Linked DNA regions of Notamacropus eugenii. The protein of the gene in region 1 binds, or shares a complex with, the protein of each later gene. Links are inferred from orthologs where the notes say so. Each region holds a gene or a part of one and is shown in the gene's direction. Other genes may lie near its edges.

Evidence for each region.
Region 2: the proteins of SPINDOC (region 1) and SPIN1 are in contact, whole or in part, in a crystal structure (PDB 7CNA), measured with the Homo sapiens proteins. The link is inferred for Notamacropus eugenii from reciprocal best matches to the Homo sapiens genes SPINDOC and SPIN1. Residues at the interface, in NP_612480.1 of Homo sapiens: Phe256, Ala258, Pro259, Ala260, Val262, His264, Phe265, Thr266, Asp267, Ser269, Phe270, Pro271, Gly273, Phe274, Val275, Leu276, Gln277, Leu278, Phe279, Ser280; in NP_006708.2 of Homo sapiens: Met154, Thr169, Tyr170, Glu171, Pro174, Pro206, Val209, Val210, Leu213, Lys216, Gln217, Val218, Glu219, Tyr220, Thr229, Val232, Val242, Tyr243, Ile245, Phe247, Asp249, Asp250, Tyr254, Val255, Tyr256, Asp257, Leu258, Val259, Lys260, Thr261.

The regions. Positions count from the first base shown.
Region 1 is NC_092873.1:16,655,479-16,671,800, forward strand, and holds the start of SPINDOC (spindlin interactor and repressor of chromatin-binding protein), read left to right. Parts: upstream 1-7,416; 5' UTR 7,417-7,423; coding exon of another isoform or gene 7,424-7,455; 5' UTR 7,456-7,541; intron 7,542-7,651; coding exon of another isoform or gene 7,652-7,659; coding exon 7,660-7,873; intron 7,874-12,020; coding exon 12,021-12,344; intron 12,345-12,427; coding exon 12,428-12,538; intron 12,539-12,662; coding exon 12,663-12,815; intron 12,816-14,752; coding exon 14,753-14,956; intron 14,957-16,322. UniProt on the Homo sapiens protein: Chromatin protein that stabilizes SPIN1 and enhances its association with histone H3 trimethylated at both 'Lys-4' and 'Lys-9' (H3K4me3K9me3).
Region 2 is NC_092874.1:368,715,581-368,732,093, forward strand, and holds the start of SPIN1 (spindlin-1), read left to right. Parts: upstream 1-10,369; 5' UTR 10,370-10,463; intron 10,464-16,513. UniProt on the Homo sapiens protein: Chromatin reader that specifically recognizes and binds histone H3 both trimethylated at 'Lys-4' and 'Lys-9' (H3K4me3K9me3) and is involved in piRNA-mediated retrotransposon silencing during spermatogenesis.

The DNA.
Region 1 (16,322 bases):
AAGATTTTGTTGCCATTAAGACTGTGAACTCTTTTAGGTAAGGGATTGTCCCATGCCCCTTTCTGTATTCCCCATGCTTGGCACAGCTCCTGGCACCATTGGAGTATGTATGTTTTAATTGTTATTATCATTGTTGCTGTAATTAAGGTAAAACAGGTAAAGTACTTTGCAAACCTTAATGCGCTATGTGTGTGGTAGACATCACCGGTCACCATTGTCTTGGGGACAAACCCCAGTCACTCGGAAATCCTCAGATGAACTTCTTGTATCCTTTCCTTCAGGGACCGGCACTCCTGTCTGTCACCTTGGGAGGTCCACTATGGAACACAGTTACCCTTGTCCCCATTTTATAGAGGAGGAGACTGAGTCAGAGCCCTGGAGGGGACAAAGTAAAGTCCTGAAGCTGGATTTACACTTGTCTTTCCCGCTTATTCCAGCATACTGTACTGTACAAGACTCCCCCTACCACAGAGACAGGTCTTTAGGGTCCATCTCTCCCCTCATTTTAGAAACGAATAAACTGAGACCAGGAAAGAGGAGGGGATTTACCCCCTGGTCACTCAGACATTACCTGGCCAAGAGCCAAGACTCCTGACCAGTCACTTACCTGCTTCACTAGGACCTAGAATGGTTTCACAGTCAGAATTCAATAAGTGCCTACAATGTGCCAGGCCATAAATGAGGCTCTGGTGATGCAAAACCACAAAAAATCCTGAGCCTATTTTTGCCCCCCAAAGAGCTTCTGGGGGCTGCAACCCAAGGAGGCAAGGCAATTGGATGGACAGTGTTAGAGTCACAAGACCTGGCTTCAAATCCCAATTCTGCTGCCTACTACCCCTGTGACTTGGGGCAGATTTCTGCTTTTTCTGAATCTCAGTTTCTTCCTCAAATGGGCAGGGGATGATCTGAGTAGGAGCTTTCCAGCAAACAGTACAAACCCACAGGCGAGATTCATTGTTTGGAGAGGACCTGAAGAGGACCTGACCCATGCTAGGCTCTTCTGAGATGGAAAGGATGGTAAATTTCCAACTGACCCAAATGGATAATGCCCTTTTTAAAGGAAATGGTTTGGGACAGAGGATACTGGAAAGAATGCTGTCTTTAGTTTCAGAAGAACTGGATTCAAATCCTGCTTTGGATGATAATTAGCTATAAGACCTTGGACAAGCCATGCCACCCCTGTGCCTTGACTTACCCAGCTGTGAAGTAAAGGCATCTCACTCGATGGTCTCTATGATCTTGTGTTGATCTGTCCTCGGATGTTTCAATTTTGAGCAGTGCTGAACAGCATGCCCCCTTGTACAATGCATTTGGATGGCTTGTCTGGGACCCAAGAATCCTTTCTTTTGGAGGGAAAGCTGGCTCAATTCATTTTTTAAAATGTGACCAGAGGGTAAAGGATTGAAGCCTCATCAACTTCAACTCTCCAGGCATGCTCCATTTGGATTGCCCTATTAATGCAGAAATCCATTGGAGGAATTTTCTATCCAAGGCAGTTTGGTTTCTCCCTTGGATGTGAGAGTTTGACTTTCAGTTAACCCAAAGTCTCAAATCACTGTTGGAAGAGCCTCATATGCCTTAGAAATTCATCTGACTAGATGGGGGGAGGGGTTGGGGAGAGGGGGACTTTCTCCCCCTCTGCCTCTTTTTTAAAATCTATTTTTGCTGTTCTTAAGTGTTGTTTTCAGAGTTTAACTTAACACAGGTGTGAGCTATGAGAATTTTGAAAATTTGAATTTGTCCAGCTATGTACTGGGGGAAAGAGGGGTGGAAGCTCTAGGCACCCCTAATTATGAGAAGTGACCACTTTCACCAGATTTAATTTGGGGAATGTCTAAAAACTGGGCATTTCAGACTTTGTGGGACCCATGACATGGAGGGCAGAGCACTGAAAACAAATAAAATAATTTAATTAAAAATATGTATTATCATATTTTCTCCTCTCAACAATTCTGGGGGATAGTCAGTCAAGGACTGTGCGGAATGGACAATTGCTGGGCCCCCTCCCCAAATTGCCTGACAGCTATCCTGGATCAGGGATAGGGACCAATGTGAACCCTGTTTGATTTATGGGAGACCATGGGGGATTAGCAGAGGAATCACCAGTCAATTTGAGGGTTTCTTCCAACAACCTAATGAGATTATACAGGCCATTGTTTGGAGGAAGGTGAAGGGCTCCCCCAGGAAAGGGTGAGAGGGTGAGTACCCCCTCTGGAATCTGATCACTTGGTTTTTAGAGACTGGAGCTGACTCTTGATGACTGGCTGCCTGAGAACCAACTGCTCATTCTGGCAGTTTATGACTGCAAGAAGCAAGCTCAGGCCTTTTTTCACCAACAAACATTTTTAAGTGCCTACTATGTGCCAGGCACTGTGCTGAGGAAAGATGGTCCTTGACTTACAATGTGGGAGGGGTCGGGGTCGGGGAACAACATAGGAAAGAAAGCTGAAGAGAGAGGGTGTGATTGGTATCATGAAAAGAGAGGAGGACAAGGGAGGGAGCCCAAGTAAAAAAATGAGCGGGTGCCCGGTGGGAGATGAGATGTTAACCTTGTTCTCTTTCCTTGCCCTCCGGGCAGAGGGACAGAGGGTCCCCGATACTGTGTGAGTTCCTGCAAGAGAATAGGTAGGTGATAACGACATGTCTTTTCTCCCTTTCCCGTGAACCCCTTTCTCAAGCGTAGCGGAGGCAAGCAGGGCATTTAGCGATGCACACAGGGCAGCGGAAGACTCCTGCTTCTGGACGGGATGACGGGAAAGCTTTTTGACCACGTCCCTGTCCCCAACCTCTCCTGGGATTCCTTTTTCCTTAAAAAAAGAAGGGAGTGGAGTCCCCTACTTGATTCTGACTCAGCGTCTCACTTAGAGAGCAAAGCCAGTGAGCCGCTTGGACAGGGCAGCTCTGAATTGCCCTGAACGGAGTTCGCTTGTTCAGCACCCTGCAAAGCGCACACCCTCAAAGGGAGTCTCAAAAGAGTAGGTCGGACTCCATAACTCCAATACCGCTGGTGAGTCCGTCGATAAACACGTATTTAATGCCTACTATGTTCTGGTCCTCTTTGTAGCATCTGTTCTTAGCACAGTGCCTGACGCATAGCGGACATTTAATAAATATTTATTGACTATTGACGAAGAGCTCGAGATGGAAATAGGAAAAAGAAAGACAAGTCTTGCTCTCGGGAGTTTACAATCGAAATGGGAATTCAACACACACAAGAAAGCTGAAAGGGGGCAGGAAGAGGGAAAGGAAGACTCCTTCTACCTCAGACCTCATAGTCCTGGCCTTATCACCTTCCTCTCCTAGGATGGAAGCTTTCCAAAGAAGGAGAGAATTTTTGAGGTTTGTTTTCCTCTCCCCGGTACCTAGCACATACCCTAATACTGAAATGGCTCTGTGTTTTTAAAAGATGTAAATCGATTGTCTTAACAAAGAGACTAAAAGATTCCCCAAAAGATTTCAGTTGGTAAACACTTGACTTGCCAAAAAGAGAGATGGAAAACGAAGGGCAAACTACGTTTAGAATATTGCCCGGCTTGTTCCGTCTTAAGCAGAAAGATGCTGGGAGGTGCTGAGCGGTATCGTCTCAGGGGAGGAGCAGAGGAAGCCGCGAATCCAGAGGGTTTAAGGTCAGCCGCGACCTTTAAGAGTAACTTTTAATCTGAACCCCTTCCAGTCCTGCCCAAGACTAGAGATATCAGAGGTGTGACTGATAAGGGTCATTCTGGCTTAATAGCCCTCTCAGCGCTAAACTTCCCAGCCTTCCCCCAAGCTAGGGTGTTGTGGGTAGAGCCTAATAATAACGAGCGCTAGAGTGTATATGATGTCCATCAGATTCTTTTCTTTCAGGCAGCTAGTGACACAGTGGACAGAGCACCGGACCTGGAGTCAGGAAGTTCAAATCTGACCTTGTGTGACCCTGAACAAATCATTTCACCCTGTTTGCCTCAGTTTCCTCATCTGTAAAATGAGCTGGAGAAGGAAATGACAACTTACTCCAGTATCTCTGCCAAGAAAATCCCAAATGAAATCATGAAGAGTTCGACACAACTGAACAACAGCAAACTACCAGGTTTGCTACTACCAGGTATACTTTATAGATATTATCATATTTTTCCCCAATTGATAAATGGTCAAAGGATATGAACAGGGAGTTTTCAGAGGAAGAAATTAAAACTATCTATAACCGTATGAAAAAAATGTTCTAAATCAAGAGATGCAAATCAAAACAACTCTGAGGTACCACATCCCACCTATCAGATTGGCTAACGTGACAAAACAGGAAGATGATAAATGTTGGAGGTGGGAGAGTTGGAACACTAATTCATTGTTGGTGGAGCTGTAAGCTGATCCAGCCACTCTGGAGAGCAATTTGGAACTGTGCCCAAAGGGCTACAAAAATGTACATATCCTTTGATCTAGCAATATCTCTTCTGGGACTCCAACCCAAAGAGATCATAGAGATGAGAAAGGGTCCCACATGTACAAAAATATTTTATAGCAGCTCTCTTTGTGGAAGCCAAAAACTGGAAATCAATGGGACGCCCATCAATTGGGGAATGGCTGAACAAGTTGTGGTGTATGAATGTAATGGAATACTATTGTGCTATAAGAAATGATGAACAGGAAGACTTCAGAGAGGCCTGGAAGGACTTATATGAACTGATGCTGAGCGAAAGGAGAAGAACCAGGAGAATTTTGTACACAGCAACAACCACAGTGTTCGAGGAATTTTTCTGGTAGACTTAGTACTTCATTGTAATGCAAGGACTTAAAAAATTTCCAGTGGACTCGAGGCAAAATGCCTTCCACATCCAGAGAAAGGACTGGATCACAGATAGAAGCAGACCATTTTCTTTTGTATTACGTTTTGCTTTGTTTGGTTTTGTTTTAAGATTTCTCCCATTTATTTTAATTCTTCTATGCAACACGTATTTAATAGGAACGTATGTGTAGAACCTATATAAGACTGTATGCTATCTCAGGGAGGAAGTGGGAAGTGAGGGGGAGGGAGCGAGAGGGAGGGGAAAAAATCTAAGATACATGAAAGTGATTGTTGAACACTGAAAACAAATAAAATAATTTAATTAAAAATATATATTATCATATTTTCTTCTCTCCACAATTCTGAGGGATAGGTGATATTATTATCCCTATTGTACAGTTGAGGAAACTGAGGAAGACAGAAGTTAAGTGACTTGCCCATAGTCACAGTTAGTGTGTGAGGCTAGATTTGAACTCAGGTCTTCACTTTAATAACCAATTATTGAATAAGGACTAATGTTTTTCCCTTCCTATGTCATCATTCTCTTCTAGGTCAAATCAGCCTGTGAAGAATAGGGCTGATAATGAGACTGGATTTAACATTTTCCTCAATCTTGTTCAGATCCTACCCAACTTATTCTACTCAGGCATGTGTGTGTGTGTGTGTGTGCATGTGTGTGTGAGTGTGAATGTGTGTAGAGCTTTTGTCTAGATTGCCCTGGGATGGGAGGGACTGATCTGGGAGTAAAACTGACATAATCAGTTCCTCATTAGAATGGATCCGCCTCCCATTATAATATTCATTATTTTCATTAATTGTTCACTAATCAGAGTTGACTGCCAACTATCAGGAACACCTAATCTTCCAAGGGCATACAAGTATCAATAGGCTGCCATCATCCTTCCTTGGTCCATGAGAGATGGCTAAATGACCATCCTTTATTAAGTATTTGCTAGCCACAATTAATAAAATGATTAATTACCCAGGAATTATATCTCTATATCTCTCAAGCTTTTTATACATCACTCCTCCATAGCTCTCTGGGAGGGAGGAGAGGGATGAATGCAAGGGGAAATTCAGGCCATGGAAAAAAAATAAGACAGTAATACAAGAATGGGTTTTTTAGTTCTTTCTCCAGATACACAGGGGCTCAGCATTTTCTCAGCCCAATCAGGAGTCGAATCCTCTTAAGTTGACACCACCCAGCACATTCAGGGCACCCTCAGAAAACCCTTCCAGCCCTGAGACTTGGGTGGGAAAGGAATATTTCTATTGAAAAAAAACAATTAAAATACAATAAACTTGATTTAGAGTCTGGAAATTGTCACAGTGGAGGCTCCACTTTGGATAATCGAAGCCCCCTTATTTTGCTGTGGCTCTCCTTCTCCCCAAGTGTAATCAGTCACCCTGAGAGCATGACCTGTCTTACTTCCTTTTTTGTCTCTGTCTAGAGCACTTAGCTCTAGCACTTAGCACAGTACTGGGCACATAGTAAGCACTTAACCAGTGCTCCATGTCTGGGCAGACAGTAGGTGCCTCAGCTGTACTCTATGGCTGGGCAGACAGTAGGCACTTCAGCAGTGCTCTGTGTCTGGGCACATAGAAAGCACTTAATCAATGTTCTGTGTCTGGGCAGAGAGTAGGTGCTTAAGCAGTGCTCCTTGTCTGGGCACATAGTAAGCACTTAACCAGTGCTCCATGTCTGAGCAGACAGTAGGTGCCTGAGCTGTACTCCTTGGCTGGGCAGACAGTACGCACTTAAGCGGTGCCCCCGTGTCTGGGCAGACAGTAGGCGCTTGAGCGGTGCCCCGTGGCTGGGCAGACAGAAGGCGCTTGAGCGGTGCCCCGTGTCTGGGCAGACGGTAGGCGCTTGAGCGGTGCCCCGTGTCTGGGCAGACGGTAGGCGCTTGAGCGGTGCCCCGTGTCTGGGCAGACGGTAGGCGCTTGAGCGGTGCCCCGTGTCTGGGCAGACGGTAGGCGCTTGAGCGGTGCCCCGTGTCTGGGCAGACGGTAGGCGCTTGAGCGGTGCCCCGTGTCTGGGCAGACGGTAGGCGCTTGAGCGGTGCCCCGTGTCTGGGCAGACGGTAGGCGCCTTGAGCGGTGCCCCGTGTCTGGGCAGACGGTAGGCGCTTGAGCGGTGCCCCGTGTCTGGGCAGACGGTAGGCGCTTGAGCGGTGCCCCCGTGTCTGGGCAGACGGTAGGCGCTTGAGCGGTGCCCCGTGTCTGGGCAGACGGTAGGCGCTTGAGCGGTGCCCCGTGTCTGGGCAGACGGTAGGCGCTAGAGCGGTGCCCCGTGTCTGGGCAGACAGAAGGCGCTTGAGCGGTGCCCCGTGGCTAGGCAGACGGTAGGCACTTGAGCAATGCTCCTCCTTAGCTGCTGCATCCCCAGCCCGGAAGGCAAAGGCGAGACCGGGCCTCGTCCTCCCAGGCCGGGCCCAGACTGCACTTTACTTTGGCCGGTTTGAATTTTTGTTCCCCCAGGGGAACGTTCGGAGGGCTGCCCTGCGGCCGCTGCGCCGCCTGGGGGCGCCCGAGAGCTCCCCGCCAGCGTTGCCGGCCCGGCGTCAGGGGGCGGGGCTCGCGAGGCGCAAGGTGGGCGGCGATTGGCGGCGGGCGGCCGCGGGGCGGGCCTAGGGGCGGGCTCCGGGCCCGGTTCGGACAATGAGCAACCATAGACGGGAGAGCGGCGCCGGGTGAGGGGCCCGGATTGAGGACGCTCCCCCCGCCGGGGTCCGCAGACTCTATGGTGGCGGGGAGGACCCGGGCTGGGCGGCGGCAGGTCCGCGGCACGCGGGCGGCGGGCGGTGGGCCCAGGCCGGCCGGGGAACGGCAGGGGCGGGGGTGGGGCCGGGCCGGGCCGCGCTGAGCCGCGCTCTCCGCCCCCGCCAGGCAGGACCATGGCCCTGAAGGCCGAGCCCGCGCCGCTGGACTGCATCCAGGTGACGCTCAAGTGCGAGGACGTGGAGGAGGTGCAAGTGGAGGACGACGGGGACGAGGGTGGGGACCGGGGGCCCCCGCCGCCCCGCCGCCGCCGCGCCCTGCCGCCCGCCGGGCCCCCTGCCGAGCCCGCCATCCCCATCCCCGCGGCGCTGCGAGAGCCGGTGCTCCGAGGTGAGGCCGCGGCGGGAGGGGGAGGGGGAAGGGGCGGCGGGGCGGGGCTGCCCCCCAGGGGGGCCTGAGGCCGACGTCCAGCTAGGGGGGAGGGGGAGGAACGCCAACGGAAGAAGGGGGAGGGGGAGCCTGGGGATGGGGCCCCCCTCGTCCGCTGCCCTTGTCACGCTACGGCCCGGGGCCAGGTACCGTGCAGGGGCGTCCTGGGGGGGCCCGGGGGACCCGGGCATGCGCTTCCGTGCCCCGTGTTCCCGAAATCCGCCTCCAGGCTTGTGCACGCACGTGCACCGTGTGTGGACGGACGGACGGACACGCGTGCGGACAATGTGACCGCCCGCGGGTGCGAGGGCAGGCTGCGAAGCCGTGGCCCCCACGCCTCGTGTCATCCGTGACTGCGTGCGCACGCGTGCGCATCTCCGTGTCTGTAACTGTATTTTGTGGCTCCGTGTTCAGTCGTGCCCCCCCTCGGTGACCCCGGGGGGTCTTCTTGGCAGAGGTCCCGCCGGTGCTTTGCCATTGCTTTCTCCAGCGCATTTTACAGATGAGGAAACTGAGGCAAGCGGGGTGTAATGACCTGCCCAGGGTCACATAGCAAGGGAGTGCCTGCGCCTGGATTTAAACCCAGGTTCTCCTGACCCCAGCCCCAGCCCTCTATCCGTGCAGCACCACCTTGCTGCCCATGTAATTGTATGTAGACATAGACGTGTCTGCACGTACACACAGAGACGTGTTTGTGTACATGCTGCCTGTGCAAACTGCTCAGTGTATCCACACACGTGACATATGTGTTTGTATGGGCCTGTGTGCACACATAGATGTGATCCATACCATCTGCCTCTTCTCTCCACCTCACCCCCCACTCCCCTGGAAACCTGTCCCTCTGGGGCAGGTAACTTGTCCAAGGGTACCCACAGGATCCCAGGGACCCTCCTCATTTTTCCATGTGTCTAAATACAACTTTACCATTGTACATGTGTGTATTCACATGTACATAAACACACATGCACATATAGATTGATGTTTACAGAAAGGCCTCCTCCATCTACATATACATATGTAGTGTGTATAATTCTATTACATGTATGTGTGTTGCACATATATACCTGTAAACACATAATAGGTGAAAAGGAGGTCCGGCAAGGTCATGAGGTCACCCAGAGGCGGGATTGGTCTGGAATGGCTTGGGGTTTAGTTGTGAATGAATGAAAAAGACAAGCATTTATGAAGTGCCTAATGTATGCGAGCACCTTCCCAAGGGTTGGGGATGCCCTACCAAAGGGAGACATCCTCATCCGGGTTTCCATTCTGGTTGGGGAAGGCATCCACCAAAATGCAGATAGACACCCCGTAAATCCTCCGTGTTGGTGGTGCATCCCCCAGGCTGCAGCACCAGGAGTGGCTGTCCACAGGGACAGAGCAGTGCAGAGGTCTTGATGATTTGGGGGTGTCTGTGAAGGCTGGCTGGGCTCTTTGCTCCTGAGAGTGGGATCCAGTGAGGGTGAGCCATTGCTCCTTCCCCACTCCCTCTTCCCTCTTCTCCCCCTCTTTTTTATCCCCTTCCCTCCCTATATTTCCTCTCCTTCTCATCCTCCCCCTTCCCCCCCTCATCTCTTCTGCTCCTCTCCCTGCCCCTTCTCCACCACTCAGTCTTTCCCTCTTGCCTCTTCCTGGTGTCTCTCTCTGGAATGGCTAAGCACCCCCCTCCTCCCCCCCAGAGCAGGTGCAGATGGGCATCCCTGCAGAGGTCCCTGGGGCCCAAGTGCTCTGCCTTTGGCCTGTGATAAAATAGGACTCTTGGCAGTAGGCGTCCCTGGAAGCTGGGGACAGGCCTCACTTCCCTGATGCTGTGGGTGGGGGCTGCATCCCTGCCCATTGCAGACATAGCTGAGTTTTCCCTTGGTTTCTGGTAGTGTGGGCTCCCTAACCTGGGAGGCCACAGCAGCGTCAGAAGTGCTGAGTTCCCATTCTGCAGGGGGAACATTGCCTTGGAGAGTGGGCCTTTCTCAAGGGCAGGGTCTGCTCCCTGCTCCTCATTTCTGCCTCAGTGCCTGGGTGCTTGGAGGGAGGCACCTGGGGTAAGCTGAGTGGGAAAAGTGGATTGTGGGTATCAGTGCAGAGGACACTTGTTGCAGTCTGCTGAGGGCTGCTTCGCTCACCCCTAAACCCTGGGTGGGCCAGCTCTTGGAATTGGCCTTCAAGGCTGTCAGGTACCCAGCTCTTGTCGGGTCTAAATATCTGAATTTTCCATCTTGAACCACTGGGTCCTGGGAAGCCACCCGCTGCTGCTTCTCTCAGTGACTTTTGGTGAAGCACCCACGGAAGTGAGACCTAAATGTGGATGTGTCTCTTTTGTTTTTTACAGTACATCAATTTCTCAATGTGCCTTCCTCCATGGACCTTCCCTTGTAACAAATAAAAATTGGAGCAAAGACCAAGAAAAGGTCTTCTTGTGGCAGTTAGGCACCATCCTGTCCCAGTAGCCATCCACCTCTCTTCTGAGACTTGGGCAGAGACAGTTTTCTAAATTTGCAGGCTATAAGCAGTGGGGTTTTTGTAGGACATTTGAAAACCAATGGGGGTGATACAGAAGGCCAGAGTGGGAATGAACAGAGGTGCCATCAAAGTACACTCCTGGACTTTGGCAGCCCGGGGTCCTGGGACAGAGAGGCCACACAGAGGGGCTGCCATTCAGAATCCAAGGACTCCTTCCTCTAGACCTGTCCAGAATTAGGGATGGGAAACAGTTGGGAGAGGGGGGTTTGGAGAGATGTGGCAAGGAAAGGAGGTCAGTGGTTGTCAGCCAGCTCTCTCCTCCATCCTCACTCACACGTAGCAGTCCCTGTATCAGGAAGCATCTACTATGTGCTGGGCACAAAGAGAGACAGCTCCTGGGAACTCCAGTGCATCTGTGATCTCCTTGGTTCAGAAATTCCCTCTGTTGGCACAGATTGCTGCCCATCCTGGACAGCTCTTGTTGGTCCCTGTACATAGATAAAAGTCCACAAAGAGTTAAACAAGGTAATTTTGTTGGCGAGGTGCTGACAGCTGGTGTCGTAGCTGGTGGCTTGAGCCGAGTCTTTAAGGTGCACATTTTACATTCAAGACTCAAGGTGGGAGATGATGTAGTCAGAACAGGAGCCCCCAGGGTGGGCAGTGACCCTGGTGGAGTCATGAAGGGACACCAGAGGGAGATTACTGAGGTGGGGAGCTGCTGGGGAAGACTGCCCACAATGCATCAGGGCCCATTTGTGTGCCCCCGTGGTGGCCCAAGGAGCCAAAGTATTAGCCTTGGCATGAAGAGGTTGCTTTGGCAGCCAGGTGGAGTATGGAAAGGAGGGGGTGTCAAGGCAGGGATATAGTGAGGCTGGCACTATAGTTCAGGTGTGAGGTGATGAGGGCCTAGGCTGAGGCTGGGGAGGGGAGAAACACTGTGAAGGGGAAACCTGCCAACCAACCATGGAGGAATTGTGAGCAAGGGCTCGAGGGAGACCCCCAGTGCCCAGGCTCCCCTAGGAAGTGTGAAAGATGGCAGGAACATGGCCAGTCCTGCTCTGGTCATATGATAGAGCTTGAGAAACCTGGGGGACATCTGGTTCAGGATGCCTGAGAGGCAGGTGGTGACTGATGCCAGATGTAGCTGAGGACAGAGGTTAGGGCTGAGTGCACACAGGAGATCACCGAACATGGGGAAGATGCTGAGATCCCCAAGGGGACGAGTATGAAAGTAGGGAGAAGAGGGTCTGGGATCGAGCTTGGGGGATGCAATCAAGAGGAGGAGAACAGAGGGGTAGCCCCAAAACCCCAAGAGAAGACTCTCCTCCAGAGGGTTCTGGGAGAATGAGGCTTGTGAGCAAAGGCTGATGGATCTGGCGGTGAGGAACATTAGTCACTTGGGAGGGGGCAATTCCACCCAAGCCCCCTGGGTTGAGGGTACCATATGTGAGTGTGAGAGTGCTCCATGAGACAGATGTTGTTGGCTACTCATGATCTGCTGGTGTGGGGAGGGCCTATTGGGAGGATGGTGAAGAGGAAGGCTTTTCTTCAGCTGGGAAGAGCCCTCCTGTTGGGTTGGCATCCTGGGCTTCTCTCACGGTGAGCTCCCTTCTCTCCCCTCCCTTGTCTGTCTCACTCCCCTGCCCTTCCTTAGTGGGACAACCTGAGAACAGCCCCCTCCCTGGGCAGTGCCAGCCAGAGACCAGTGCTGCTGTTACAGAGGAGGCCGAGCCACTGCAGTCCTGGGAGCAAGAGTACTTGGTAGGGAACAGCCCTGGGGGCAGTGGCCGGGCCCTGTGCATGGTATGTGGCCAGGAGCTCCCCACCCCTTCCGCCCGAAGTGCCCGGCGCCACATCCTCCGCCAGCACCCCCACACCCTGGGCCTGAGCCCCGGGGAGAAGAGCAACATCCTTGAGGCCTGGAGCGAGGGCGTGGCCTTGCTAGATTCCCTGGAGTCTCCATCTTCCCCCAGCAGGGGTAGGTAGGAGGGGACTGAGGGGGGGCCATGGGGCAGAGCTGGGGGGAGTCAGGGTCTTGAGGGGCTTTACTCTCTGCCTCAGATCTTCCTGAGACACCAGCTGAGATTGTGGTGCTTCTGGACTCTGAGGAAAAGCCTGAATCACAGTCAACTCGGAACCGACCCCGGGGACTCCGGCCCCTACAGCCTCCAGGTCAGACCCCTGAGAGAGGGAGCTGGGGCAGGCACAGCAGGGTCAGGCAGAACAGGGCTGCCACTCTGGGCCAGGAGCCGGGCTAATGGGCAGGCTTTCACACAGTTGGGCCACTCTCTGTCAGCAGCTCCCCCAGCCATAGAAGGAGGGACCAAGAAGTTGCGGAACCAGAGATGTAAGGAGCTGTCTGGAGAAGCCCCTCCCAAGAAGAAGAAGGGGAGGGGCCGCACTTCTACCAGGGCCAAGACCATGGCCAGGCCCTCAGTCCCAAGCCCAGGTAAGGGGGTACTGAGCCTGAGTTTCGGGGGCAGGACCAGGCTCTTTGGGACTGGAGAGATGGGACCAGAAGGGGAGGGATGGACATTTTAGGAGAGTTGCCATGAGGAGTGGCACAGGGAGTCAGTGGGGGTGGTTTAGGTAAAGGATCTCCTTGCAGCAGTGAGGCCCAGTCAGCAGGGGTCTGTGGGGGTGTCCAGCTTCCTTCAGCAGCAGGGGGTGGTGAGAGTGATCCAGGGATCCACAGAACCTGAGAGAAGAGGAGGGGATAGCACTGAACTGGTTTACCAAGGGGTCAGGATGGGGAGGGGAGGAGAGAGTGGCTTGGGAGGGAACTAGGGTGTGGCAGCCTTGGCCTATCTTTGAGAACAAAGAACAGGCTGAGGGCTTGGAAATCAGTGGGGAAAATTAGAATGATAAAAGATGGTAATGGGTACAAAATCATCTGAGTAAAATTAAGCAGGGAATGCCAGGTTGTGGAGGAAGAGGACCTAAGGCAGCTGAAATCAAAGAGTGTAGCATGTAAGCAGCTAGGTGATGCAGTGGAGTAGGAGGACCTGAGTTCAAATCCTGTCTGGGACACTAACTGGGTGACCCTGGGCAAGTCATTTAACCACTGTTTGCCTCAGTTTACCCAATTGTAAAATGGGGATAGTGATAGCACCTCCTGCCAAGGTTGTTGTAACATTCAAATGAGATCACCTGTGAAGAGGCACTTTGCAAACCCAAAGTACTATATAGATACTAGGGATGGTGGTGATGATCTTGGTGATGATGGTGGTGGTTCTGATGGTGGTAGTGATGGTGATGATGATGGTGGTGGTGGTGATGGTGGTGGTGATGGTGTTGGTGGTGGTGATGATGATGGCGATGGTGATGGTGGTGGTGGTGGTGATGATGATGGCGATGGTGATGGTGGTGGTGGTGGTGATGGTGGTGGTTCTGATGGTGGTAGTGATGGTGATGATGATGGTGGTGGTGGGATGGTGGTGATGATGATGATGATGGTGGTGGTGGTGATGGTGATGATGGTGGTGATGGTGATGATGCTGGTGGTGATGATGGTGGTGGTAGTGATGATTGTGATGATGATGGTGATGGTAATGATGATGATTATGATGGTGGTGGTGGTGATGGTGGTGGTGATGGTGATGATGGTGGTGATGGTGATGATGCTGGTGGTGATGATGATGGTGGTGGTGATGGTAGTAGTGATGATTGTGATGATGATGGTGATGGTGGTGGTGGTGATGGTGATGATGGTGGTGATGGTGATGGTGGTGGTGATGATGATGGTGGTGGTGATGATGGTGGTAGTGATGGTGATGATGATGATGGTGGTGGTGATGGTGGTGATGGTGGTGGTGATGATGATGATGATGATGGTGATGATGATGATGGTGGTGATGGTAGTGATGGTGATGGTGGCGGTGGTGATGATGGTGGTAGTGATGGTGATGATGATGGTGGTGGTGGTGGTGGTGGTGATGATGGTGGTGGTGATGATGATGATGGTGGTGATTGTGGTAATGGTGGTGATGGTGGTGGTGATGGTGGTGGTGATGATGATGGTGGTGGTGATGATGATGGTGGTGATTGTGGTAATGGTGATGATGGTGGTGGCGATGATGGTGGTAGTGATGGTGATGATGATGATGGTGGTGGTGATGGTGGTGGTGGTGGTGATGGTAGTGGTGGTGATGGTGGTAGTGATGATTGTGATGATGATGGTGGTGGTGGTGGTAATGAAGATGCTGGTGGGGATGGTGATGATGATGATGGTGGTGGTGATGATGGTGGTGGTGGTGGTGATTGTGATGATGGTAGTGGTGATGATGTTGCTGCCAGAGCTTAAACCTTAGGAACCAGCCAGCCCAGCCTCTTCAGCGTCCAAACATAAGGAAAGTGACTGCCATGTTGTTCTCTGTCCCTCCGCAGCATTCCTCCCCCTTCCACATGTCACCTTAGAGCCCTTCTCAGCGCCCACCGAAGTCCGACACTTCACGGACGGCAGCTTCCCACCAGGCTTCGTGCTCCAGCTCTTCTCTCATAGCCAGCTGAAAGCCTCACAAGACAGGGCCTCCTCAAAGGAAGGAGTGCCAGCTGAGGGGAGCCCCAAGCAGCCTCCAAGTCCCTCCCCAGGTGAGCTGTTGGGCAAGCCTCTCAGACTCTGGTGATGGGAGAAGGGCCCTGGAAGGCAGGCCTGCCTCCCTCTCAGCCTCCCCTCCCTCCAGGACTCTTGTCTTGGCTCCACAGCAAAGCAGGCATCCTTTCAGAGGAAGGCTGTGACCCCGCACAGCTCTATCAACCTGGTCTGGTCTGAGAATCAAAGCTCAGGTTCCCATCAAGGAAAGCTGGCTCCTAGGCCAAGCTGGATTCTGGAGGATCCTGAGTCCAGCACAGGCCCATAGCAGGCCCTTGTAATAAGCATTTATGCTTATTGAACCTCCCTAATCCAGTTTAACACAGGATGGGACTGTCATGGACCTCTCTCTCTGGCATCCCTTTTGGTCTTTGGAATTTCCCTCTGATTAGGCACCAAGTGAGTAGGTGGACTCCCAGAGAGGAGACTGTTCTGACCCTCATCACCCTCCAAAGGAAGTGAGAGACAGGGACCCCAGAGCACATGGGAGGGAGCTTCTGGGCTAAGGCACTTGGGAAAGTACCTCTGAGCCCTGGCCTGCCCTAACTCTAGCAGGTGCACCATGGTTTAGCGGAGGAAGACAATGATGAATCAGGGGAGTGTCCGGAGGAAGGATGCTGAGATGGGCAAGGGCCTTTGGTCTATAATGTGTGAGGATCAGATAAAGGCTGGAGAAGTCTTACTGGGGGAGGGGGCCCCAGAGATAACCAGATCCTGGCCATTCCTCTGGACAAGTTCCAGGGGCTCTTGTGGGCTGCAGAGTACCCAGGCTGACGTAGCAGCCAAATCCTAATGTGATTCTGGGGTGTGTTGAGTGGTGGTGGCTGCTGTGTCTTGCCTTGGTCAGCCCCCATGTATCTAGAGGCTTGCTCAGCTCATGTTAGGCAGGCTGTTGATCAGCTGGCAAGTATTGCGAGAAGGGCAGCAGGCTGGTTAAGGCCTGTTTGCCACATGGGGCCTCTGGCAGAGGTTAGCCTACGTGGCAGTTGGGAAGCCAGCAAAGGGGCAAACCAGGAGCACCAGGTTAGGCCTGGCATCAAGGGGAAACGTCCCCAGGTGGTGAGTTCTCCCTCCTCTAAAGGGCTTTGCATTGGAGATTTTGGAGGAGGTGCCATTTGGTGGGTCCAGGAAGTCCCTGTCCTTCCTCCCATGGCCCATACTGGCTTCCAAAGAGCTTCCAAAGGATAGGACTGAATTCTGGAGTCTGCATCAGGGGCCTTTCTGACCACCCTTGAGAGAGAAGCAGATGGGTCCAGAGTGTTCATAGGACCTCAGTGGTCAAGTCCAGCCTCTGCATTTTGCAGATGAGGAGCCTGGGGCCCAGAGACACCAAGGCACTTGCCACTCACACAGGTAGTAGTGGCA
Region 2 (16,513 bases), on another chromosome or scaffold:
TGTATTTCCCTGGGAAAGTCTCTCACAAGGTGTGGTCTTCTTTGTGGCTTCTCGGCACATTTCTCCTCTTGAGGCACTTAAAGCTATAGCTGGACACAAATGATCACTCTTTCACATTATTTCACCTGCAGTTCTACGTTTCTCCCAGAGAATTCAGGAAAGAATTCATTAATGATTCCTTCATTTGTGGAGTCTGGCAATAGATAATTCTATAAAGAAGACAGGCTTTTCCATTGCAGAGGAAAGGAGAGGAGCCTCTGATCCAGTGAGCTTTGAAAGGTCAAAATGACACCTCAACATCCCAGCATTCTAGAGTTCAAGTTTGCAGTCAACACAGCATTCGTGCCCCAAGGAGCAATGAGTGATTTCCTAGACCCCAGTGGATGGTAGCTGAGATAAAGACTCATCCACCAATCAGGTCACATCTTCATATCACCACGGTGTAATCTTTGTTAAGTAGGGACTGAGTTGAGTATTTTTGTCAAGGTGTATAGAGGATACATTTTTGTTGTTACAGTTTCAAAGTAAACATCTCTCTGTAAAAGCTAATCATTGTTTAGTGGCTAAATGGAACTGAGGTGCTATCTATCCACTGGCACTTCATAGTGGGAGGAACCACAGCTGGTAGAAATTCAAGCCAATAACAATACAGAAGAAACTCCAAAATTCCTCAGGGCACCTAGGTCAAGGACACATAGTAGACCACACTCTAAGAAAGTGAGGTTAGGACATACTGACTATAAAAGGCAAAAATAGTGTCCCTTCCATGAAGCAGCTCACATTTTAAGAAAGGAGACAACATGTAAATAACAATGCACATACAATGTATGAATACATGGAAGGTAATGAATAAAGAAAGGCACTGGGTAGAAGGAAGGCTGAGGGAAGGGGAGAATCAGGAAAGTCCTTTTATAGAAGGTGGGATTAAAGTTGAGTCTTAAAGCACATTAGGGAATCTAAGAAGTACGGATCAGAGGTATAGGTGAGAGTAATGACTGATTTATTTTCTTTTCAAAGTATTTAAATAATTTCTTTCCAAAGCATTTTTCATAATACCATTATATTGTGAGTTTTTATGACTATAACAATAATGTTCTTAATCAGAAGAAAAGTTTCTGTTGTTTAAGAGAAATTAACTCTATGATGAAAATACATTTAATAATTACGGAAATAAGCTTGCTTATTTAACCACACAATCCATATCATTCATAAATCATTATCAGTTCCAGGTACAGAGAATAGACAATGCAAAGGAATGGAGTCTGGAGAATTTTCTGTGCCAGGAACAGTGTAACTGAGTGATAGAATGTATGGAGGGGAGTAAAGTATAAAGTATAAAATATTCTGAGTGGTAAGAAGGAATGAGCTTGAAGGAATATTAAAGACAAAACATATTTTATATTTCATCATAGAGATAATAGGGAGGCACTGGAGTTTGTTGATCAGGGAGTTGACATAGGCAAGCTTGTGCTTTAGGAAAATCACTTTGGCATCTAAGTGGAAGATGGATTGGAATGAGGAAACACTTGAAGCAAGAATGACACTTGCAGCGGAATATTACTGCTCTGTGAGCAGACCACAGAGATTCTCTCAGTCCTTTTCCTGACTTTTTGGTCTTCAAATTCATGTCTTTACTACTCTCACAACCTAGGACTTACCGGCACCTGTAGCCAGCCTCCTTTGGCGTTGAGCAGACTCCTGTGGTCTGCTCACCCTGGAATATTCTTTCACAAAACTTGCTTCCTTTCCAATAAATGATTCTCTCCCAGAGCATCCACTTTGTGGAAAAGCCCAGGCCAGCCTGCCTTCACTCTCCTCCTGGCCCTGTCTATTGGCTTATCCTGGAATTTCCTTCAGTGCCTAGGGACTCTTTGCTTTGCAACAGCCTAGCTATAGGATTCATAAAGCCATCTCTGTAAGGAATGTGATTTTGAAATGGGTTTTAAGACTTTAAAAAGCTGAGAGATTGTGTGTGTGTGTGTGTGTGTGTGTGTGTGTGTGTGTGTGTGTGTGTGTGCAGCGGCTTCATTTTAAGACCCTGTCTTACCTGCTCAGAGATGCCTTGCTTCATTCTAAAAGAATCATGGCTTGGGGATTTTACTACATGTAAAATCCATCTCTCAAGACAGTTCTGAGCAAAGTGCTTGGTAAGCCTTAAAGCATTATTCAAATTCGAGTTGTAAATAACAAATAAATTACTAATGAATCATCAATGAATTATTAAATTAATTAATATATAATAATAACAAATAATAGTACTCTTCCTTCTGTTGCCTAATTCTATAAGGGTAGGAACTGTGTTTTTTCTATACTATGTGTCTATCCTAATGGTTAACACAGTGTTCTGTATGCAGGGGATGCTTAATAAATATTCGCCGATTTAAATTAAATTGATTCCCAACTCTTTGAGCCTTCTACCTCTTATCAATTGGCAGCAACATCGTAGGATTCCAATGATGATCTCCACGGAGAGGCGTATAACATGTATCTTGCCACCTTCTACATCTTTCTCACACTATCACCCTTCCTCCTCCCCCATCTTTCATGGCATTACTGAAAAAAAAATTATAAAATCTGCATTGTGAAGTAGAGAATACTCCTGTTAAGCAAACTTAAATGTTACATTTTCCTTAAATGACAAAATTTCATGCTTGTATTTCTCTGGAGCCTTATATCTCATTTGGTATGCACTCCCATATTAAACTTATGTGTAATAGTGTAGTTATTCCAATATAGGCTCTGGCTCACTAGTCTGGAAGTGTTGCCAAGGAGACTCAGGACACCAGAAGTATCTATGGCAACTAAGCAGACTTTTCCTCAGATTTCTCAGGACTTGTGATGTTGACCTTGGAATTGAAGACACTAGGAAGAAGAAGGATACAAAGAGATACATTTTGACCAACCAAGATGAATGAGTTGAGGCACAGACATGATCACCCAGTCTCTCAAGTATTCTATCCCAACCTGTGGAGCAGATCAATTTTCTTGTGGATGATGGAGATCGAAAGCTGCTGGGTAACTGGAATGAGCTTGGATTCCTGGGCAGTCTCTACTCTTTCTTTCTTCCTGCTCAATAAAGAAAGATGGAAGATCCCGTGTCCTGCTTTACTGTGAAATGATCACTTTCTCTTCTCTTTCTGCCCAGAAAAGGGAGGAGGAAAGAGAAGAAACAATCAACTCATGCTTTATAGGTTTTGTTAAGGGTAACAAAGAACAAAGGGTAACTTACGACATCCTATCAGGTATAATGTGAGCTTGCATATATTATATCTGGGCTCACCACTATTGCACATGAGCTCTGTTAAAAGGAAGAGCAAATTTAATAGGCTTGTATCTTATATTCTTATTCCTCTCCCAAATTACAAACTCCATGAGATCTGAAACAATAATTAAAATATACAATTTCTAGAACAATAATAACTATACACATACATACATTTGCATGTATGTATACTGTATATATGTGCACATATACACATATGTAAAACAGCTATTATTTCATTTGATACTTATAACAACCCTGGGAGGTAGGCTATTATTATCCACATTTTACAGATGAGAAAACTAAGGCAAACAGGATAAGCGACTTGCCCAGGGTCACACAGCTAGTAAATATCCGAGGCTAGATTTAAACTCAGATCTTACTGATTTCAGGTCCAGCCTTATCCATTAAGCCATCCAGAAAACCCATAGAACAGTGTTCTGCACTCAATATGTTGCACCTATGATAATGGATTGGTGAAAGATTTCCCAGATCTGCATTGAATTAAGTTCACACCGCTTTAACTGAATTTTTAAATTGAACTTTTTCTTCTAGTCCTCAGAGTTTTAAACATTGGAGGTGGGATGAATGTGAAATGTTGTGATTTAGGAATTACCTTTTGAATAAGATCACTTGAACAATAAAGATTGAATTGTTCTTTTTTTAAGTTGTGTATTTTGAAACAATTTTTATAAATATTGACCAAAATTTTTCCATCTCAAGAGAATTTTTTAAAATTATAACTTTTGGGCAAGTGTTTTTTTGTGTATCTTTTTTTATTTTAATCTACAGCTTCTAATGGGGTCCCAGATCAGCATTCCATCTCCCACCTCCAAGGCTTTGTATACATATATAACATTTCTCACACTTAAAATGTATTCCCTCCTCAATTTTACTTATGAGGTGCTAGGGTGCTTGTGTTTGGACCCCAATTCCAAAATCACATTTCTCCCTAGCCTCAAAAAACTATCCTTGATAGTTTTCTCCCCCGCCTATGCCTAGCAATAACTCATGAATGGATCCCAGTAAGACAAACTACCTTGCCCTGCAATTATTCATGAATGGGCCCCCAGTAAAACAAACTATCTTTCCCCATCAAAAGAACAAACTGACCTCTAAAGAAATTCTCTTGTAAAAATAGGACTATCTTATAACCACAGAATTATCATGTACTGATTCCCAAAGTTATGATATTCAATCTAGAGGTCAAGCTATATACATCAACTTTCAAAGCTATCTTGCTATAGACATAATAGACCAAAAATACAGCTCTGAGAAATTTCTTACTCCCCCCCATTAGCAGTAGTGAATGAAGCCTGTGACCAAGGTTGTAAGTTATCACCTAATTAGCATATCTGATAGATAATTCACTACTTTCCCTATATAAGCTTTAACATCACTCACATCACTCCTATTAAGTCGCAGGTTTGTTAAGGAGCTCTGCCCACTATATTGGCATTACAATAAATCTTTACCAACTTCACTTGAAGAATGCTTGAGTCTGTAAATTCATTCCAGATGACCCTTTCCAATACTCCATTTCTTGAGGGGTCCCTGAGACCCCCACCCCAAGTCTAATCTCATCACTACCTCTTGAGCTTCTTTCTAGGATCAACTCAGATACTTCTTGAAAAAGCCAGTCATTAGTGTCTTTTCATTCCTTAAGTTACCTCATATTTACTTCTTGACTTACTCATTTGTTTCTAGAATATAAGGTTCTTGAGGGCCACTATAAGTTTTCCTTTGTCTTCTTATCCCTAAAGTTCAACATAAGGGTCTTGTATATAGTGTGAGCTTAAAATTTTTTTTTGCCAAATTGAATTGAACCTCTTCCTTTCTTTCTGACATTCTTTGACCACTTTTGACCAGCAGTGACAGGTGAGATTGGATTGGATTCAGAAAATTATTCCTCTTAAAGTTCTTAGCCACTACACCAGCAGTATCTTATTTGAAAATTTGTCTAAAGCAATTACTTAATTTTAGAAAATATACTGATATTCATCATTTTTAAGATACTCAGCATGGTGTCAATCATGGTCTCAGCAACTTTAATAGTTGACTCCCTGTTAGGGGCAAACTATTAGAGTTACTGTTGAGTAACTAAATGTTGGTCTAAATGTGTATATAATCTTCACCTCACAAATTTATGGACCTATGGAACATTAGATTTAGAACTGGAAGGGACTGTTCACTTTGAGACACAACCCCATTTTCAGAAAACAAAACAGTCCAGAGATTTACCTACGTTTATTCAGATAACAAGTCACACAGATTTGAAACCTTGATTTCATCTAGTCTCCCTCCTTCTTCCTCATGCCACATACGTAGATGCTGAATCTTGTTATTTCTTCCTCCAAAGCATCCCTTACAATTGTCTTCTCAAATGTCAGCTATTTTAGTTGAAGTCCTAGTGATCTCACACCTGGATTCTTTCAATAGCTTTTCAATTGGTTTCCCTGTTTCAAATTCCTCTTTTCTAATCCAATCTCCTGCTGCCACAGTGATTTTCCTAAAGAGTAAATCTGATCATGTCACTCTCCTACTTAGTATGTTAGTTCCTTATTGCTTCTAAGAAAATATATAAGGGTAACCCAGGGCTCAAGTACATTTGCATAAGGCATACATTGCCTTTATTCATAGGAAATGGTTACTCAACAGCCCATACCTATAGAAGGGGTAGAGCTTGGAAGAAAGATCATTGTTCTGGCTTCCAGCTTCAAGAAAGGACATATGTGACTCCAGATCCTTTCCAAAGAGAGGTAACTGAAGGGAGAAAAAGACTCTAAGTAAGGGAGCTGGCACGTCAATTGTGTCTTTATCCCCAGCTTATCATGCTAGAAATTTCAGGCAATTTCCCCATAGATGAGATCTAGGACTCTCTGTCTCTTATGATAGAATTGAACTATTTCCTTACTGATGGGAAGTTTCATTAACTCTGAGAATTATTTGTCATAATCTCATCTGTGTAACTTCTCTGATTCCTATTTACTTAGGCAAATGGCTTAGGTAAACAGGTTTATTTGCTATCCACTATGTTTGGTATTTGTATAACTAACATTTGTTTGGAAGGGAGTCAAGCCTTTGGAGTCAATCTTTGCTTGGAGCACTCCTTCCCCATTAAAGGAGAGCAATCAGGAGCAAAGCTCGAACCTAAAAATTATTTCCCCTAGACTAACAATATTTAAGTGCAGAATTAGATAAAATCATCCAGCTTCATGTTCTCTAGAGATGTCTATTCACCCTTTCCAAGGAGCCACGTCTAGATAGTTGTGGAGTCTTATAACCCATGTTAGCAACACGCACATGCACACGCACATGAGCACACACACACACACACACACCCTAGCCCAAATCTACCTGTCTAGCCTTATCATACGTTACTCTTCAAAATAAAATTGTCTTTACCATTCCACATACAAAGTATTCTCTCTCCTACTACTGTGACTTTTCCCCTGCCTATTCCTTATTCCCTCCTTTACCTCTGCTTCTTAGAATTCCTGTTTTCTTTCAAGACTCATTTTAAACTCCACCTTCTCCCTGAAGTCCTTCCTGATCTTTTCAGCTCCTAGCACTTTCCCTCTCAAAATTATAAAAATTCCAAAATAAATTGTATTCATTTTGTATGTATTCTGCATAGTATGCCTTCTGAACTATAAAATGGACCATAGCAGATTTGGAAAGAATCCTAACAAAAACCTGTACAATATTAAGAACACATAGAAGTCTAAGACACCATTACTACTTTTGATCAAAAAGAAGAAAGAAGACTGATAAATATTTATCGTGTACATAATAAACAGCTCAGAAACCCACAAAAGTATTTCTAGAATAAGCAGGTATACCTTCACTAAACAAAACCAAAGACGATAACAAGGTTGCACCACTGGATTTGCTAAAGGTAACTAAACAATGGCTTACCTCCTGATGGAACTCATAAAACTAATATCCAGGAAGAGAATCAGAAAGTCCTCCATGAGTTGCATCGACACAAATATGGTGAAACAATATTTTGATATAAAAGTGTCAAACAAACATCTGGGTCACGTTATTTCATTTGTGAAGATAAAGAGGTTTATGATGGTAATTCTGGGTTATTGCCAGCAGTCAAGCCAAAATCTAGGAAAGAGGATGCAGGCTATAAGCATTTATTTAGTACCTACTAGATAACAAGTATTGTGCTAAGTGCTTTATGGATGTTTTCTCCCACAACCACCATTACAGGTAGGTGCTGCTATGATCCCCAGTTTACAGTGGAGGAAACTGAAGCAAAGAAAGGTTAAGTAACTTGCCCAGGGTCACACAACTAGTAAGTACATGAGGATGGATAAACTCAGGTCTTTCTGATTCCAGGCCCAGGGAGGGCCCTTTATACCACACCACCTACTTTCTTAAAACTATCTGCAGCTGCTAAAGTCAAAAAGTAATTTCAAAAACTACAAAAGGGTAGTCCGAGATGCATGAGGATGACGATGATGATGATGATAGTAAACAACTCTGGAGTGAACAAAATATTCTTCATGGGTCACATTAACTAAACCACCCATATGTATGTGTATATACACACACGTGTGTGTGTGTTGAACAAATTTATTATCACAAGGATTTATTTGTAGGATTTTTCAGGTTGCCTTAGGGAATTTCGGAGACATTTGGAGTTTGACGCTTCTGATCTTCAAAATGGGGTTTGTGATAGTGACACCATAAGATCAGCTCGTTGGTACAGAGTTACAGAAAAGTCATCCTTAAGAAGTCTTGACTGATTAACGCAGGTTATTTATGGAGATAGTAAAAACTGTACAACATTTCACTGGTGGACATGTGGAAAGCAATCTAAACCTAAGCAATACTAGTCTCAATATATAATTTTGGAATGATAAAATGAAACATAACAGGTTTTGATAATATCTAATAACTAAAAAACTCATACAACATTACTAAAAGTCTAGCATTGAAAGAAAGGATGAAATTTGAAAATTTTCTTATCCAAAAAGAGCAAAGAGAAATGATGCCCCAAGAACATATGATAAACTGCTGAAAAATTTAACAGAAAACTTTTGGAACAAGCAGACATCATTTCACCATGGAATAATGAAGACTGACAATAGGTAAGACAATCTTGAACTTCTTAGATGTAGTTAAAAGTAGTTGAATCCTAGATAGAGACTAAACAATGGTCCAAAAGTTTTTAGGAAAGGAGGAACTTCTAATAACAATTCTAGATCAGGTTATTAGCACCAGAAATTATAGCACGGCTACTCTTAAGGAAGCCACACTTATTGATCAGTGCAGATTATGCAAGGAAATAGTGGAAATATTGTAACCCATTAGTGAAAGCTCCAAAAATTTAGTGCCTACCAAATACCTAACAAGCAATTACCTGGTACCTAGAATTATAAATTAGCAGTTCACTGTCTTTTATAAACCAATGAAAAATTCCACATACTACAAACATGAAACTAAAAATATTCTTTAGGATTCACCAACAGCAACAAAAACTACAAGAAGCAGAGCATTATCTCAGACAAATCTACTGTCAACAACCACTTGGATATAACTTTGAACCATTAAAATTTAAAATCAATGATTTTAAGAGATGTTGCCATAGCAAATACTCATAATTTTCAAGTTATGTGAAATATGAAGCTTTGAAAATACAAAGAGCTAGCGGAAGAAATTAAAATCACATGGGAACAGGATGAGGTACATATCATCTCTGTCATCCTATCTGCCACTGGAGTTATCGCAAAAATACTACTTTTAATTGGGCCTACAGAATATGAGTTTGGATCCCATCACTTTCATTCAATTACAAAAAAAGTATTATTTTATATTATTATAATTTGCCTGTGAAGTATTCTGCAGAGTACTAAAAAAAGAAAAAAAATAATTTATACCAAACCATTTCTGGCTGAATTCCATCAAAAAATGTAAGAAAGAAAAGCAGTAATAGTGATAATAACCAACATTTTTAAAGAGTTTTAAATCTTGCAAAAGATTTTACATGTATTATTTCACTGAGGCTTCACAGCAGTCCTGCAGTATGTGTAGTATAGGTACTGCTATACCCATTTTAGAGATTAAGACACTGAGGTTCAGAAAGATTAAGTGACTTGGTCATGCTAAAATAGCTAATGTCATATTCAAGATTTGAACTCAAGTCTTTCTGAATCCAATTCTATCACTGTTCACTGTTACTCTACTTTTTCTTTTATGATCACAGATTTACCAATTATTTGAAGTTCCCCAAATTGCATGCCATTTTGGTAATTTCCCCACAAAACTTATTTTTCAATCATAACAATTTTTAAACCTATCAATTAAATCAATCAACAAGCATTTATTAAGCATTCATTATGTGCAAAATACTTAACAGTGCAAAGGACTAGGGATATAAACTAGAGAAAAATGAAACAATCTCTGCCCTCAAGATGCTTACATTCTAACAGGGGAGATAGCATGCAAATATATACATTTTAGCACCCATTCTGAGCTCATTCTCCCAATCTCTATTAGGTCTAGTGGGCCAAATTCTCAGAAAGAGACCAACTTCTTCATCCAGAATTTTTCAGGATAACTCTGAGACTTGAGGTTTTTCTATTAGTATTGTTGATGAGCCCCCACCAGTGTGATTCCCATTTACTATCCATTTGATATATATCAACAAGGATGTTTACTAAAGTGGTATAGTAAGAACAATTGGTACAAAACATCACCCTCCAAAAAAATGCTTAAAAGATAGTCTCTCACAAATACACACAGAGTAAAGTGTGTTCAAGCTTAGAGAGAACTTACGGTCAATGGGTAGTTAACTCATAGCTCCTAGAGTTATATGAAAGTTCCTTTGTCCCTTCCTTCAATCTTCATGAACTTCTCCTGAGGTGCCCTTGTAAAATCCTGAAGTTTCATTTCTTTTACTTCACTTTATTCATGTTCTATGAAGCTGCCTTTACTGTCTAGTTTTCTCTCCTTCAGCTGCAAGATGGATGTATTGCTTGTTCCTGGTACAATCTCTTCAATGACATGAACAATGGGAGGGAGGAGGAGTGTGACACTCCCTATGACCTCACTCACTCCTTGCTGGCTGCCCACTTATACAGATACAAAGGCCTGCCTTCTTAAAGCACTCTTGAAGCTTACCTCCTAAAGTAGATAATGGATTATCCCAGTGGAAGCTCCTTCTCTAATGTACATAGGATCACAGGTATGTCTATTTCTTTCAGCCAATTTCAATATATTTCATCATCTTATTTCATCTAATGGTTCAAAGCACTTTATTCCTTCCTATCTTAATTTTATGTTGTATACAGCTAACTTATACCTTTGATTTATTAACTCTGAAATGAAGATACTAGGTTGTAAAGCATTGTGTTAGTTATTTTAATGGGGTGGTGTTTGAAACACCTCTCTTACATAAATGTATATAAAATGCATCCAAAATGAATACAGAGTAGTCGGGAAAGGGAAATCACTAAAAGCTAAGAGGATCAGGAAAAGTTTCACGTATAAAGAGGCACTTGAGTTGTCATAAAAAAATGCAAGGATTCCAAGAGGTGGTGATGAGTAGTGAGTTCATTCCAGGCATGGGACATATACAGAACATAAAGATGGGCACTGGTATGCCACATGTATGAAACAGTGAATACACTTGTATGGCTGTGTCTCATATGCATGTGAGGAAATAGCATGCAGGAAGACAAGAAAGGTAGAAAAGGGCAAAATTTAAGGAAATCTAAATGTCAAAATACAGAATATGTACAAAATGAATACAGGGGCAGCTAGATGTCACAGTGGATGGAGTGCTCAGCCTGGAGTCAGAAAGATTCATCTTTCTAAATCTGACTTCAGACAAGAACAAGCTGGGTGACCCTGGGCAAGTCACTTAATCCTGTTTGCCTTAGTTTCCTCATCTGTAAAGTGAATTGGAGAAGGAAATAGCAAACTACTCCACTATCTTTGCCAAGAAAACCCCAAATGAGGTCATAAAGAGTTGAACATGATTGAAACAACCGAACAACAAATGTCAAAATAGTAAATTTTAATATTTGATCCTAGAAATAATAAGAAACCACTGGAGTTGGTTGAATAAGACATGTGACATGATCAGACCTGTGCTTTAGTGAAATTACTTTAGTGTCTCTGTACAGTATGGATTCTAGTGGGGAAAACTTGAGGTAGAGAGACTAATTAGGAGATTATTACAAGTAATCCAAGTCAGATGTGATGAGGGCCTGAAATGGGCTTGTGGACTTGTGAGTGAAGAGAATGGGACATTTGTCAAACATAGTATGGAAATATAAACTGCAAGTTTCAATGTGGCATAAGTATGTGAGAGTAGTAATCAAGGATGACATTTAGGAATTTGGGTGACTAAAAAGATTGTGGTGCCTTCAACAGTAACAGGAAAGTTCAGAAGGGAATAGGAGATGATAATGAGTTCCTTTAGACATGCTAAGTATGAGATACTATGTCACATCCAGCTTGCAATATTGAATAGGCAGTTGGTGATGTGAGACTGGAGGTAGGGAGAGAGAGCTGGATAAATAAATGAAAATTACGAACAGAGATGAAACTGACGAGACCATCAAGTGAGAACATATGGAAACAAAAGAGAAGAGAACCCAGGATAGGGTTTTGGGGGATACTCACAGTTAGTGGATGTGACTTGGATGAAGAGCCATCAAAGGAGATGGCATTCAGATAGGTGAGAGGAGAACTTGGAGAGAGCAACAAATCAAAAACCTAGAGAGAAGAGAGAATTTGAGGACTGGAGAGTACCACAAGATGGGAAGTCACAGGAGAGATTAAGTCTATTAAGATCACCTATTGAATACTTATTTTAAAAATAATGCTGACTACTTTCAAAGCACAAATCTTTTATTACAGTAAAATTCAACAGATTTTAAAAACCTTTGTCCCTTATTTCTTTTGAGGGTGATGTTTTGATTTCTATAATCCACACAAAATTCATTCAATAGAGCTGGCTTGCTTATCTATATAGAATTTCCTAAAAATTAACGTATGAATCTGTGTCTGTCTGTACATATATGTATATATATGTATATATATACACACATATAAAATATGTACATATACATATATATGTGTAGGTATAGGTATAGTATATATGTATACATACTTAAATGAATCTGTAACTTCAGGAGTTTCAACCAAGAATACAAAATGCTTTCTCATCCTGTGCAACACTCATTATGAGAGTACAAAAAAACCCCAACACTTTGCCTGGCCACCTGTCATTCATTGTGCTCATCACATGACCAGTACACCGTCTTCTCTTTCTGTCATACTAAATGTGTGTGAGTATATAGATATGTATGTATGCATGTGTATATATACACATATATATACATATACATACATAAGTATATGTGTAATATAAATACAGGATATGGATACAGATATGGATAATAGCGATCATATAAATATAGATTATATATCAATACAGAAAGATAGATAAATATTTTTTTACTGAACTGCCATGGTCTTCTGGTTATGTATATATGCATGTATTTGCACATACGCATTCGAATAAGGACCTTGGTGTCTGGTACCCTATCCTGCCAGATGATCCTCAGAATCTTTCTAAGACAGTTCAAATGGAAGCGATTCAGTTTTGTGGCATGGCGCTGGTAGACTGTCCATGCTTCATAGGCATACAACAATGAAGTAAGTATAACAACTCTGTAGACCTTCAGTTCGGCAGTCAGTCTAAAACCTCTTCTCTCCCATACTTTTCTTTGGAGCCTCCCAAACACTGATTTAGCTCTGGCAATGCATGCATCAACCTCATCAATGTGTAAACCCCTGGAAAGTACACTACCAAGGTACCAACTTCTCCATTTGTTGTAATCAATGTTTCTACATATGGATGGTGTAGTGCTGGCCAATGGAGCACCTGTGTTTTCTTGGTGTTAATTATTAGGCCAAAATTATCACAGGCAGCAGAGAATTGATCCATAGTTTGTTGCATCTCAGCTTCAGAGGTTGTACAATCATCTGCAAACAGAAAATCATGCACCAACACTCCCTCCACTTTGGTCTTGGCTTGTAGCCTTTTCAAATTGAAGAATTTACCATCAGTATGGTAGCTGACCTTGGTGCCCTGTTCATCCTCATTGAAAGCATTTGACAACATGGCTGGAAACATCATGCTAAAAAGCATGGGAGCAAGCACACAGCCCTGTTTCACTCCACTGGTGACTTAGAAGGCACAAGAGCATTGTCCACTATCCAGAACCTGGGCAAACATGCCATCATGAAATTGACATACGATACTGATGAACTTCTCTGGGCAACCAAATTTTGACAAAATTTTCCATAAGCCCTCACAACTCACAATGTCAACGGCCTTGGTCAGATCTACAAACATTGTACATAGACCTCTGTTCTGCTCCTGGCATTTCTCCTGGAGTTGTCGAGCAGCAAACACCGTACTGACTGTTCCTCAAGTCTTTATGAAGCCACACTGGCTCTCAGATAGATGACCATCTTCCAAGTGAAGGATGCATAACTCTGATGGGCTGGTCGCATTGTTTGAAAGCAAAATGTACACTTGCCAATAAGACTATTTTATGGAGAACTCACATGGGGCAGGCGACCACATGGTGGTCAGAAGAAACAATACAAGGATACTCTCAAGGTCTCTCTCAAGAACTTTGGATTTGATTATGCGGCATGAGAGACACTGGCACAGGACCACTCAACATGGCATGTCCACATCAGAAAGGGTGTTGTGCTGTATGAGCGAGGCACAAAGTGAATGTAAGATCTGTAAATTTGAAGTATTCATCCCAAATATTCACATGGACTATCTGTGCCCAGTCTGTGGTAGAGTATTTCAAGCCTGTATTGGTCTGATCAGCCACAGTCAGACACATTGAAACCTGAGTTTATCATGGTGATGTCATTTGGTCCTCTTTGAGAATGAAGGACAACAGCCAAGGTATGTACACATACAGGCATGTGTATGTATGTCAGTACTTGGCACTTTTCCAAATTGTAGGTATTGACAATATACAAGCACATTGGTTCACACGACTTAAAAAGTAAATATTTATCATTAATCAGAAGAAAGATAACACAGAGCAATGGATACAGAGTCATCCTTGAAACCAGGAAGACTTCAGTTTATGTATTCTGACCCATACTGGCTTTGTGACTCTGGGCAAACCTCTCATTGCTCAGGGCAACTCTCTGAGAATGTAAATTACAGGTGCAAATCTGCTTTAATAAAATGAATTTCCTTGGGAGTTCCCTACACCAATGAAATCAGAGGTCTAGTCCTGATCCCCACCCCATCCCCATAAATCCTGAAATCAAATAGTCTCACTTCATAACCATACTGAACACTGAGCAAACATCCCCCTGCTGTGTCCCCTTCTCTCTCCCCCTAACCCCACCTACCAAGGACCACTATAACCTCATAACAGAGTAGAATTCATAGGGCCTCAACTGCACAAGCCATGTTCATTCTTTCAGCCATGTCATATTTATCATTTTGCTGAGTTTCCAACAATTTCTCAGTCTTTCTTAACCCAGTATCCCTAAGTCAAACTCATCTTCTCCTCATAGAACTTTGATAACTCTCCTGCTGCTTTATACTGGTCAAAGTACCCCCCACAAGAAATGTTTTAACTCAAAGGCAAAGATAGAGTTCTATCAGACTTCCCTTGTCTGGAGGCCAAATGCAATTAGACTTTCTGCAAACCTTGTATCCAATTCTGCCACAGTCCCTATAAGAATTCCTCTCTGAGTCTGTTCCATATACTGAACTCTTGCAAATTTCACACTTTTGGGATCACTCCTAATTCTCAGGAGTACAATTCAGCCAACTGTGAACCTTCTTGGGGCCCATGTCCAGGAAATATGAAAGTTTCCTTCTCCCATCATTCCTGGTGACATTCTGGAATAACAGGAGGTAAAGAAATGGTGGTAGTTGGTTGAGAAAAACTAAACCACTCCTCTTTTTCTCCTCTACTACCCAATCCGTGCACAGTTTGAAGAAATATTGCAGCCCTCCTTCCTCAGTTTTTATATTATATGTATTTACTAAATTATATTAAATGTATTTATATTAAATGTATCTCATGTACTGTCTCCTCTTTGGGTTCACTTTCCTTAGTATTCTAATTTTCTGACTGTAAGGGATCCACATCTTTCTTTTATGAAATTCTGTCTTAAAATTTTTTAGTGCTTTCAGTCTCAGAAAATATATGTCCAATGACATATTTTAAATTTCAAATAATTTTAGAGCCCTTTGTAAGGAGGTTACATAGAATCAAACAACAAAATAAGAGCAAATGACTTGGACACAAGCTGAAACTAAAATGGCAAATGAAATAATCACTTTTTAACAGCAATTTCCCTTTATGAGAAAGCCACAAAAAGAAGTTAGAGTGTATGAAAGGTAAAGGGATTACAATGGGATCAATAAACAGAAGTCTTCAAATATCAGAGGCTTTATCCTTTATAGAGTTCTGAGCTGGAAGTACTTTTGGAATTCAGAAGGACAAGACAAAAGTTAAGAAGTACACAAGTTGATGTGGTCATGGATATAGAAGAGAATGAGAATTGACATGAGTTGCAAGAAATGAGTATTAAAAGGTAGAACTGAGAGTGAGGAAAGTTTCTGGTTGAGTTATATATTCTTTATGTACATATTCCAAGGACAGGAAATAAATTCAGGGTTTGATCATTTTCCTGAGTATGAAAACATGAAAGTAATTGCGTCTGGTTAGAAAGGGCATCACCAAATGAAGAAAGCATATTTTAAGAACCACCAACCTTTCCATCAATTACTCTGTTTCATGTTGTCTACTTTAGTTCTCCAAGTTGTCACTACTAGGTTTATTTCCAAAAATGATTAGATAAAAAGGAAAAGAACCTATGTTCTAAAATGTTTATAGCAGTTTTTTTTGTGGTGGTAAAGAATTGGAAATTTCAGGGATGCCCATCAATTGCAGAATAGCTGAACAAGTTGTGGTATATGATTGTGATGGAATACTACTGGGCTATATGAAAGGATTAGCTGAATCATCTTAGAAAAACATGGAAAGATTTGCATGAAATAATGAAAAGTGAAATGAGCAGAACCAAGAGAACATTGTATACAGTAACAGTAATATTGTTTTAAGAAAAACTTTGAGGAAATAAGTCATTTTGAATATTATAAATACACAAATTAACTATAAAGGATATATGGAGAAAGACTATCTGCATATAGAGAAATAACTG